Oryctolagus cuniculus: one gene and its partners. The main gene of each other region encodes a partner of the protein of the gene in region 3 in a complex. Links are inferred from orthologs where the notes say so. Each region holds a gene or a part of one and is shown on either strand. Other genes may lie near its edges.

The links. Proteins that work in one complex are often made in the same cells at the same time.
Region 1: the proteins of CIC (region 3) and ATXN1 are in contact, whole or in part, in an NMR structure (PDB 2M41), measured with the Homo sapiens proteins. The link is inferred for Oryctolagus cuniculus from reciprocal best matches to the Homo sapiens genes CIC and ATXN1. Residues at the interface, in NP_001291744.1 of Homo sapiens: Val943, Phe944, Pro945, Trp946, His947, Ser948, Leu949, Val950, Pro951, Phe952, Leu953, Ala954, Ser956, Gln957; in NP_000323.2 of Homo sapiens: Pro572, Tyr573, Phe574, Ser578, Ile579, Ile580, Gln581, Leu582, Ala583, Leu587, Val590, Leu593, Phe598, Ser601, Ala602, Leu608, Asp611, Ser613, Phe631, Val633, Ala638, Gln639, Val640, Val642, Tyr648, Pro649, Phe650, Phe651, Trp657, Ile683.
Region 2: the proteins of CIC (region 3) and YWHAQ are in contact, whole or in part, in a crystal structure (PDB 6KZG), measured with the Homo sapiens proteins. The link is inferred for Oryctolagus cuniculus from reciprocal best matches to the Homo sapiens genes CIC and YWHAQ. Residues at the interface, in NP_001291744.1 of Homo sapiens: Arg1207, Ser1208, Met1209, Ser1210, Glu1211, Thr1212, Gly1213, Thr1214; in NP_006817.1 of Homo sapiens: Lys49, Arg56, Lys120, Arg127, Tyr128, Gly169, Leu172, Asn173, Val176, Tyr179, Glu180, Leu216, Ile217, Leu220, Asp223, Asn224, Leu227, Trp228.

The regions. Positions count from the first base shown.
Region 1 is NC_091436.1:143,606,360-143,610,003, forward strand, and holds part of ATXN1 (ataxin-1), read right to left. Parts: intron 303-3,644; coding exon 1-302. UniProt on the Homo sapiens protein: Chromatin-binding factor that repress Notch signaling in the absence of Notch intracellular domain by acting as a CBF1 corepressor. Binds to the HEY promoter and might assist, along with NCOR2, RBPJ-mediated repression. Binds RNA in vitro.
Region 2 is NC_091433.1:192,537,561-192,541,204, reverse strand, and holds part of YWHAQ (14-3-3 protein theta), read right to left. Parts: intron 2,151-3,644; coding exon 1,987-2,150; intron 1,406-1,986; coding exon 1,310-1,405; intron 160-1,309; coding exon 100-159; 3' UTR 1-99. UniProt on the Homo sapiens protein: Adapter protein implicated in the regulation of a large spectrum of both general and specialized signaling pathways. Binds to a large number of partners, usually by recognition of a phosphoserine or phosphothreonine motif.
Region 3 is NC_091449.1:12,846,089-12,849,832, reverse strand, and holds the start of CIC (protein capicua homolog), read right to left. Parts: upstream 2,507-3,744; 5' UTR 2,361-2,506; intron 1,711-2,360; exon of another isoform or gene 1,575-1,710; intron 1-1,574. UniProt on the Homo sapiens protein: Transcriptional repressor which plays a role in development of the central nervous system (CNS). In concert with ATXN1 and ATXN1L, involved in brain development.

The DNA.
Region 1 (3,644 bases), on a different chromosome or scaffold from region 3:
TCAGACAGCATCTGAGCGCTTCCCTGATTGAGCCCGTTCTCCTGCTCGGCGTACCTGTGTCTGCTGCCCGCCAGGCTGTCGGTCTTTGAGCGCTTCAGCAGGACACTGGCAGCATCTGCGGGCTGGCCCTTTTTAACAGAGCCATTCTTGGCGTTCTTGAGGGTGAGCGAGATGCAGACGTCACCTACTGAGAGTCTGGAACACGGCAGATCAAAGAGCTGGCTGGTTCTCTCCGGGCAGCAGGACGACCAGCCCTGTCCAAACACAAAAAAAGGATACTCGACCAAGACTTCCACGCTGACCTGTGGGAACAGGGAGAGACAGAGAGGCAGACAGGAGGGAAACCAGTGAGAGCTCTGTATGATTTCCTTCCTTCCCTTCCTTCCCTTCCTTCCCTTCCTTCCCTTCCTTCCCTTCCTTCCCTTCCTTCCCTTCCTTCCCTTCCTTCCCTTCCTTCCCTTCCTTCCCTTCCTTCCCTTCCTTCCCTTCCTTCCCTTCCTTCCCTTCCTTCCCTTCCTTCCTTCCTTCCTTCCTTCCTTCCTTCCTTCCTTCCTTCCTTCCTTCCTTCCTTCCTTCCTCCCCCACTCACACACACACACACAGGCTGCATGTTAATAAATTAGACTCCACTAACAAACTTCCCTTCCCTAGCAACACAACACAATGAGGCCCTTTGCTGCCTGTTGTATCTGCGTTTACTACATAGAGAAGCTGGGCAGGAGCCAATGCAGAAAACGGTCCAGTGAAAAGGTCCATTCAGTATCCAAATACTTCACTTAGCATTAGCTCTATCCCTGGTCTCTGTTAAAACAAGTCAGCTGGGGGTCAGCATTGTGGTACAGCAGGGTTCAGCCGCCGGTGGCAATGCTGGGCTCTCATAGGAGCACGAGTGTGTGGGCTGGTGGCTCTGCTTCCAATCCTGCTCCATGCCAGAGGTGGGGCTACAAGGAGACATTTAAGTATCACAAACAAAGGCAAGGAGAGGGTACGGGATGGGTATTTGCAAAATAGCCAAAGTCTGAAAGGCACCCGATGCTTTTAAGAGTTTAATTCTCATGAAATTAAATTTATTCAACATTATAAAAAATTTAGAGAGAGAGCAATGAAGTAGTTTAAAAAGTCAATTTTCAATGGCTGTTTGAGATGTATTAGACTAGGCAATTTTGGAACAAGCTTCCTACTAAGGAAAACTGGAAGCTGTCAACAACAACAACAAAAATACCATAAAAACAACAAAATTAAAAATTCTGAAGAAAATGTTAAAAAGCATTTTTATCAGGGCCAGTGTTGTGGTGTTGATGCCAGCATGCCATGTTGGTGCCAGTATGAGTCCCAGCTGCTCCACTTCTGATCCAACTCCCTGCTAATGGCCTAGAAAAAGCAGTGGAGGGTGGATCAAGGGTTCAGGCCCCTGCCACCCATTTGGGAGACCCAGAAGAAGCTCCTGGCTTCAGCCTGGCTCAGCCCCAGCCATTGCAGCCATCTCAGGAGTGAACCAGCAGATGACGATCTGTCTGTCTCTCACTCTCTCTGTGTAACTTTCAAGCAAATAAATAAATGAATAAATAATTAAAAAAACACTGTTTAAAGGCACTGGACAGAAATAAGACAGTAAAAAACTTAACTGTGTCAAACCAGAAAAGGATATGATAGCCCACAGATTTGAACCTGGTGGTGTTCCAAGCCAACTTTGAATATTTCAAAGTAGAGCAGTTATAAGATTAAGTGGGCTTCTGGGAATCTCAATAGCATTTTGTGTGTGTGTGTAATGCAGTGCAGGGTACACCAAGGGACGGTGATCTTTGGTGAACCCCGCTTTTTTTTTAAGATTTATTTTATTTATTTGAAAGACAGAGTTACAGAGAGAGGTAGAGACAGAGAGAAAGTCTTCCATCTACTGGTTCACTCCCCAGATGCCCACAATGGCCAGAGCTGCGCCAATCTGAAGCCAGGAGCCAGGAGCCAGGAGCTTCTTCTGGGTCTCCAACTTGGGTGCAGGGGCCCAAGCACTTGGGCCATCCTCCACTGCTTTCCCAGGCCACAGCAGAGAGCTGGATTGGAAGTGGAGCAACCGGGACTAGAACTGGCGCCTATATGGGATGCCGGGCGCTTCAGGCCAGGACATTAACCCACTGTGCCACAGCACCGGCCCCGAACCCCGATTTTTAACCTCTGATCCCAAACACTATGCCTTAAAAGTAAGGGTGCATCAGAAGTGGATAGGCCTTCCAAGGTCTGAAGTCAAATCTTAATCATCTCAGTCTCTAACACTGGATTCAGCTCTTGAATTATTTCCACACTGTTGCAAATACTACATTACCATTCAATTTTGAAAAGGGAGGAAGAATGAGGAGACCAAGAGAGAAGCAAAACTAATAAAGACAAAACATCTGATCATAAGAACAGACCCACAGGGGCTTCTGGTAATCACCAGAGACTTAAAAATGACCCTGCTTACAATATTTCAGGAGATGAAACACAAGCTTGAGGAGTGGGGAGAAAACTAGAATCTTAATTTTTTAAATGATATATTTATTTATTTGAAAGGCAGAGAGAGAGAGAGAGAAAGAGAAAGAAAGAGAGAGAGAGGTCTTCTATCCATCTACTGGTTCACACCCCCAGATGGCTGCAATGGCTGGAGCTGGGCCAATCTGAAGCCAGGAGCTTCTTCCAGGTTTCCCACGGGGGTGCAGGGGACCAAGAACTTGGACCATCTTCCATTGCTTTCCCAAGGCCATAGCAGAGAGCTGGATCGGAAGTGGAGCAGCCGGGACTTGAACTGGCATCCATACAGGATGCCGGCACTGCAGCCAGCGGCTTTACCCGTTATGCCTGCCCCAAGTCTAATTTATTTTTAAAATATTTCTGGACACTCTAGAATGAAAGCACTATATTCACTAAGATCAAGATAATTTTCCAGCTGAATAGACACAGTTGAAGAAAGAATTAGTGAACTGGGTTCTGTAATTGGATTCTGAACTAGATTAAGAGCTTTAGAAGAAACTACAAAAAATGAATCAAAGGTACAAAAAAAGGGGGGGGGCTAATTCAGAGGAGAGCCTAAGAGACAGAAGATACATTGAGAAGGTCTAATAGATGCACAATTTGAATCCTAGGAGGAAAGAGAACTAATACTTGAATTTTCCCAGACTAACAAGAGGGAAGTCACAAACTCAAGAAGACTTAGCCCCAAGAAAGAAGAGTGAGGAAATATCCTCACCCAAGCAGGTTATAGTTAAACTGCTCTAAGCCAGAGACAGGAAAGAAAAATCTTAAAAGCCTCCAGATCAAACAGACATTACCTCAAATCAGTAACAATTACATTCACACTCTCCGTCAACAAAAATAATGGGAGCCGGAAGACAATGGAATATCTTTAAAGTGCTGAGGTAACAGAGTTGCCAATCAAGCATTCTATACAGAGCACAAAGCTTCTTCAAGAATGAAGGCAAAATAAAGACGTTTCAGACAAACAGTAATTAAGGGAACTCACCAGCAACAGAACTGCTCTACAGAAAATACTAGAGTAAGCTTTCAGAAGGAAAAAAAAAAAAACCCACAAAGAATCTAGAGAGAGGTTTGTAGATGCAGGGAGAAATGAAGAGCAAGGAAACGGGAGCTATGTGGGTAAATCCAAATAAGCA
Region 2 (3,644 bases), on a different chromosome or scaffold from region 3:
TGAGCGGGCTTCTCTGCTATAGGAAATCCAAGTGGAGGAAGGAATGGAGATGTGTAAAAAGGTTTCTTGGAGGGAAGGAGGGTGACGCCCTGTATCCATTTAGTTTTCCGCCCCTTCTGCTGCATCACATTCTTCTCCTGCACTGTCTGATGTCCATAACTAGAAAGAGAACCATATGACGTTACGATGTAGACAAGTACACCATGTCCTGTGACGATAATTCTGAGCAGTAAATTCCTCACATAGAGACTTTGACTGGGGCCCCTCTCACAGCGTGAAAGCATACCCTTTCACTATGCATTTTACAAAATGACACACACAATACAATATTCCTTGAGTTGCTCAAAAGGTCTCTAAACAGAGTGGGTGGCAGAAGCTAGGGAACAGCATATGTATCTATGTGTTTAGAAAGGGTTCTTCAGGGGCTGGCGCTGTGGTGTAGCAGGTTAAGCATCTGCCTTTGGTGCCAGCATCCCATACGGGCACCAGTTCATGTCCCGGCTTCTCCTCTTCCAATCCAGTCTCTGCTATGGCCTGGGAAAGCAGTGGAAGACGGCCCGAGTGCTTAGGTTCCTGCACCACGTGGGAGACCCTGAAGAAGCTCCTGGCTCCTGGCTTTGGATCAGGTCAGCTCTGGCTGTTGTGGCCATTTGGGGAGTGACCCAGTAGATGAAGGACCTTTCTGTCTCTCCCTCTGTCTGTACATCTGCCTCTCAATAAATAAATCTTAAAAAATGGGGGAGGGCCTCTTAAACTAGGAGGTTAAAACTAAGACAACTGTCTGTAAGGCTATCTCTGATGTTACGGTGGAAAGCTAAGGGAGTAGCCCATGTTTACTGACGTATAATCAGTTTAAAAAGCTGGATTTTATTAGACCAACATCAAAATGCTACTGCCAATTTTAGAAAGGCTTGCATAATCTTTAAGTTATTGCTAAGATGCTGAAACAAACAAAACTCCCTGAAGAGCTGTCTCCAGAGACAGAACAACACAAGACCAGAGCTCCGAAGTCTATCTGGTCAGAACTAGTTTTGCCTCTCTCTACTTTTCTACAAAACTATCTCACTCAGCATCCTTCTGTGCCTTTACAACTACAGGAGGGCAGGAGGGCAGAGCCTTCGTAACTTCCCGGCCAGTGAAGCTGAACACAGTGCTAATGTAAAAAAACAAAAAAATCCCATTTAGTCAAAGAAAAAGTTACCAAACCAGGGGTCCAGAATTATTTATACGAAAGATTCTCTTACATTCTGCAAAATGTACCTGTCTTTGTTCCTGAAAGGAAATGAAACGAGAAGAGTAAAGGACTCACTGTTAAATTGTCTCTAAGCAACTGCATGATGAGGGTGCTGTCTTTGTAGGAGTCTTCATTCAGTGTGTCGAGCTCTGCAATGGCCTCGTCAAAAGCCTGAGGAGTAACCACACCCACGGTCAACAACGGCACAGGGACAGGAACTGTCCGCGAACACCCAGCTCAGTGGGATCACTCCCCCGGACTCTCACTTTCACAGCTTGCGGGAGCGTGACCCGCGACTGCAGAGCTACAGGCTTCATAAGCAGGGACTTGGTTCTTACAGCAGGGGTAGAGGAACTTTTTCTGGCAAGGGGCTCTGTGACATAATCTGTGGGCCATACAAAATAATCAACTTGGAAACAATTAGCTTGTTATAGATACACCAAACTAAGTCCTGCTGGGGTTGCCTTGTCAGGGCCAGACCAGATGAATCAGCAGGCCAAACACTCACCACCCATTTCACAGGCCATACAGCAGTAACGGGGAACAGACGTGTTCCCGTAAAAACTAACAGGTACTTGCAAAAGCCCTCATCACTCTCCTGCTTTGAGGGATGCACTAAACAGCCACTCCCACGACCACACCCGGCAGCCATCCCATCTTCTCATCTCTAGCTTCCTTCAGGTGGTCAATAAACAGAAAGCAGTCATCCCTGAGCATCCAAGTGAAAACCCAGAAATCAACACACATCTTACCGTTTTAGCCAGTGTGCAGGCGAGCTCCGGGTTATTAAGGATCTCATAGTAAAATACAGAAAAGTTCAGAGCCAGCCCCAGGCGGATTGGGTGTGTGGGTTGCATCTCTTTCTTGCTTATATCAAATGCCTCTTGGTAAGCTCCTTGGGAATTATCTATCGTTTCTGTGAAGAGAAAAAAATAAAAGGCATGATCCTTTGGAAAACAGCCAGAGACCAGCACATGAGTAATTTTAACATGCTACTAGCTCCTGGCAGAGCCAGATGTTTCTGTTATCTTCCTCTGAAACCACAGTAGCAAGCTACAAACATTTATCCTGTCTTGGATATTTAAAACTAGCTCATAGTGTTGCTTGCTTATAGTCAGCTTACAGACAGTATATAGATTCTTCCATCAATGATATTAAAACTGTTTTCTTTTTCCTAGCTTTTAGATCACATTACAAAGATCACCATCACAAGAACCCCTCTATTTTTGTGACATTATTTGTGCAAACAGACGCTCTGGGTATTACGATGCTCTGGGTGAGGCAATATAAAGTGCCAATAATACAGCAAAATCTGCTTTGAGTAGCCTCCCTCAAAAAATGCTCAGGAGGGGCCAGTGCTGTGGCGCAGTGTAAAGCCACCACCTGCAGTGCTGGCATCCCATATGGGCGCTGGTTCGAGTCCTGGCTGCTCCACTTCTGATCCTGCTCTCTGCAATGGCCTGGGAGGGCAGTGGAGGATGACCCAAGTCCTTGGGCTCCTGTGCCCGAGTGGGAGACCCAGAAGAGGCTGTGGGCTCCTGGCTTCGGATCGGCTCAGCTCAGGCTATTGTGGCCATTTGGGGAGTGAACCAGCGGATAAAACACCTCTCTCTCTGTCTCTCCTTCTCTCTGTCTGTAACTATGACTGTCAAATAAATAAATTAAAAAAAAAATAATTAGGAAGCATTACCAACATGAACTTGATTATATTTGTTTTGAAAGGGTTTGTTTTCTATTTAAGGCCGTGGATCTACCCCAGCTTTTTTGAAGACAATGACATAGCAGAAATTAAGCAACCCCTTTATGACTTGACTGTGCACTTTCCCTCCTCTGAAACGGCATCATTGTTGATCTAATCACAACTCCCACAGTAAGTGGCTCTTGCTGTGGGCATCTAAGGAGGGACTACACAGAGCAGAAGCGGTCAGCTCAGCTGGAAAGACAGCTGATGGCACCCGAGGGACTGAAAGCAGGAGCTCAGAGTGCCCACGAGACAGAGGGCCGAGGTCGGCCTCAAGCCAGGAATGTCCTAGTAAGACGTCCTCTGCCTCGCTGGCACTTACACGCTCAGTTCTGTGCCAGTATTTTCACTTCCAACTCTGCTTACCTTTGTGGCAACAAAAACTCTCTATCAGTAACAGTAAATTTGTACACAAATGTTAGAGCAAGTACAGTGGTTTCCTCTTTATGGCTTCAGTCGCACTGGTATCTACTTGTGCAGCTATGTTACTGGATGGGGGCAGAACTGAGAACCAAGAACACCACAAATTCACTGGGGAAAACAATCAGAATTTCAGCAACACTTCCACCTAGAACTTGACAAATCTACTAACAGGCACATACACAAAACTTAGGATCTGTACTATGCTCAGCTCCTAATAACCCAGGAGACTTAAGTTTACTATAAATA
Region 3 (3,744 bases):
CCCTGTCCCCAGATCCTGGCAGAGAGCAGGCAGGGGCACGTCTGGTGCAAGAGCTCACACCCAGCACTGCCACGGGGCATGCATGAGTGCACGCACGCGCACAAACACACACACACTGGCACACACGTCATCACACAGCGGGACACAGAGCTGCACCCCAGGGCTCCTCGGTCCCCCTGGATGGGAGCCCGCCCCTCCCCCACAGCACCCAGCCCGACAGCAGCAAGCCCAGCCCCCCCTTCTCCCCCGCCTCCCGTTCCTGGCCTGCATGTATCCCGCCCTGGCTGGGCTGTCTCTGGCAGGGTGGCTGAGTGTCCCAGCCCCCTCAGGCCCCCACATAAGCCCTCCAACTCCAGGTGGGGATAAGTGGGATAAGGTCAAAGGAAGCAGGACAAGCCCAGCCAGCCAACCTCACCCACTTCCTGAACAGTCATTACTGCCCGCCCCCTTTCAAGTTGCCCTGAGAAAAGGGGAAAAAACTTCACTGTGAAGTGACTAAGAGAACCTGGGAGGCAAAGACGGGGCCCCCAGGAGGGGCGGGGGGCTAGGACCAGGATCCAACACGACCAGAGGCACCCCGACTCTGTCTTGGGGCTCTCCGGGGACCCTAACTTCAGGCCCTCCACTCAGGTCCTGCTGTTCTCGTGGACCCTGCAGTCCCAGGCCTGCCCCTTCTCTGGGCCAGTCCCGTGGCCCTCACAGACAGAGCCTGGAGGGCCCCACGCTGCCCCCCGAGTGCCCTGGGAGTTGGGCAGCCATCAGTGCCTCCCCGAGCTGCCGGGTCACCATCCGGGGGACTGAGATCTGGCCCCAGTCCTACCCAAACACAAACCTTTGCATACCCCACCCAGGGCCTACAGCCACACTGCAGGGCACCCCTGCACCCTGCTGCCTGGTCCAGCCAACTCACCTCAGAAGCCAAGCCTCTTTGCTTCCCCTGGGGCCTACTCTCTGCCCACCTCTCTCTGGAGGACGCCCCCAGCCCCAAGGCCCCGTGGGCCCTCACCTCCCTCAGGATCTCAGCAGTCCCTCTTCAAGCCCAGGCCAGCCCAGGCCCTGGCCCTCTGGGGTCTTGTGCCCTCTGCTCCCACCAGCCCTACTGGAACCAGCCTCTCTGCCACTCTGTCTCTCATCCTGTCACCACCTCTACCTCCACCTCTCTCCTCACAGACCCTAGGCCCCCTCCTCTCTCACCTCTGCTTGCCACCCCCATTTATCTCTGTCTCCTAGTACTCTCAGTCACTCTCCTGTCAGCCATCTCTGGACCTGTCACCTTCTCCCCCCATCACCTCTCCTTGTCACCCCCTCCAACTCTGTCCCCTCCCTCTCCCTGTCACCCTTATCTAGTCCTGTCACCCCTCCACTCCTGTTACCTGTCCTCTGCCCACCACCCCGTCCCCCAGTCACCTTTGCCATCACCCTCCCCCCTCCACTTCCTCCACTCCTTCTCCCCTTCCCACCATTCCGCTCACCCCTTTCCCCCTGTCCCTCCTCCCAGTCCCTGCCACCTGTCCCCCCTCGGCCCCCAGCCCCCCTCAACCCCCTGCTGTGTCAGCCCTGGCCCCGCCCCTCACCTCGGGCTCAGCGGGGTTTCGGGGCCGGGGGCCCTGGCCCCGGCTCGGTCCGGTCCGGTCCCTCCCCGCCCCCCCTCCGGCTCTCCCTCTCGATTCTCCCTTTTTTTTTTACTCCAACACACAAAATGGTGAATGGACCTGCAACAGCTGGAGTAACCAGCCAATCAGCGGCCACAACCCCGCTGACCGGCGCCAGCCTAGGCCAATAGATTTTCGCAACCTGACTGACTCCGCCTCTCGGCGACGAGCGACGTTCACAGCAACCAATCGCGCCCAACGGGCAGCGCTAAGGGGAGGGGCCAAAATCCAAGACCAGCCTCCCTCCGGACCGACACCAACCTGAGCCTACGACCGCCTGATCTGCCTAGGGCCCTGCCCCACAACAAGTGATGGACATCAGCGTAGACCAATTGCAGACTGTCTTAGTGGTAAACGACGAATACAGTACCCAGTCGTCATGCTCCATAGGCCGGAACCCGGCCCCTGAGAGGGACAGTAGCCAATGAAATAAAGGAAGGCGGGGATAAGCAAAGATCCCTCCAATGAGCAGGCTCAGAAGGCGTGGCCCGAGCGTTTGTTGACCGGCTGGTCGCAATTCCTGCTGGGAATCGTAGTCTTCTCACGTCTCTGGCCCATAGTCGACAATACTAGGCAGACTACAACTCCCATGTGACAGAGTGCCTGGAGCACCAAAGAGCCCAGGCGAGGAGAAAAAGTCGGAAAGGGCAGTTCCTACTGAGTGTTACTGGACACCAAGAGCATCTTAGACCCAGGGCCCCAACTCACCCGGATTCCTGGCTCTGGCGTCGCCAGTGGCTCCTCTCGGCGGCGGCGGTAGCGGCACGAGGGGGAGGTGCGAGGAGCAACCAACCGCCACCCTCGAACCCCGCAGCCAATCAGCAGTGGCTGGGGCGGCGCAATGACCTCACCGGTTCTACTCTCTTACCCCTCCCCCACGTGGTTGTTGCTGCCGGTAGCAGAGTAGGGAAGTTTGCGGTGGGGGGAGGGGAGGAGAACCAGTGATGTCACCTTTCCCCCGCTTGATTGGCTGTCGGCGGCCTGGTCCACGACCAATCAAGGGTCTCGAAAAGTCTGGCGCGGCCCCGCGGAAAGCTCTGTTGCCACCGGGAGGGGAGAGGACGCGCACTAGTGGGGTGGCGCGCGCCGCAGCGCGTGCGGCCTGGGGCTGGGGGACCCTGGGGCCAAGTCACCTTCTCCAAGACTTTGACTTTCGGGACGGCGCAGTTTGCCGACCGCCCTCTCGGGTCCGAGATAGAGGACTGACTTCCCACGGCCCTCCGTGGAGAGCGACACTTGGTGGGTGTTTACACCCGCGAGGAAGGAGATTTTTTTAAGCCGGGGGTGGGAGTGTCACACTGTGGATACGGAGGGGAGGGATATGTCCTGTTAGTAGTAGATCCGTGCTGCCCACGCACGGGGTCTACACGTCCACAGGGCACCCGTGCGTGCGGTGCGCACTGGACTTGCCCTGGACCTGGGCTGCCCGCAGCCTGGTGCACCGGTCGCGAGGTTTCTCTTCGTCCGTGATGGGCTCCCAGGGCTGTGTCTGCCCGAGATTTGTACCAGTGCTGAAGAAAATGCATCTGACCTGTCGCAGGCCCTAGTGTCCGCGGGTGAGAGATCGGGCCGTGGCCTGCAGCCATAGAGGAACTGTCAGTCGGCCAAGGGGGTTCAGTGAGTGTGGCGAGCCCTTCACACTACCCACGAGGAAACACTGTCCACGGAGGAGACGCCTTGAGACTGTGGAAGCTTCACTGTGCATAGTAGTTCACGCTAGGAAGCAGTGTTATGCTGCCACCTGTGCTATTCCATAGTCCGTACTCTGTAGCGTATCCGTATCCTACTACTGTTACTAATTTACATCATTCTAGAAGCCCGTTCCCACTTCGTCCTGGGTGGCCCTGGGGTTGAGGGGAATTTTTAGCTCACACTGCACATTGTGTAGATGCTGGGTCTGGGGAAGGTTGAAACGCACCGGGAGGGTCCAGGGGCAGACGCTAAGCCGTCGCGTCGCCCACATCCCATACCCGAGTCCCTGCATTTTATTCCTGGCTCCAGCTCCTGACTTAAACTTCCAGCTAGTGCAAGTGGCTGGGTTCCTGTCGCCCATGTGGGAGACCTGGATGACATTCCGGTTTCCCCAGCTTTG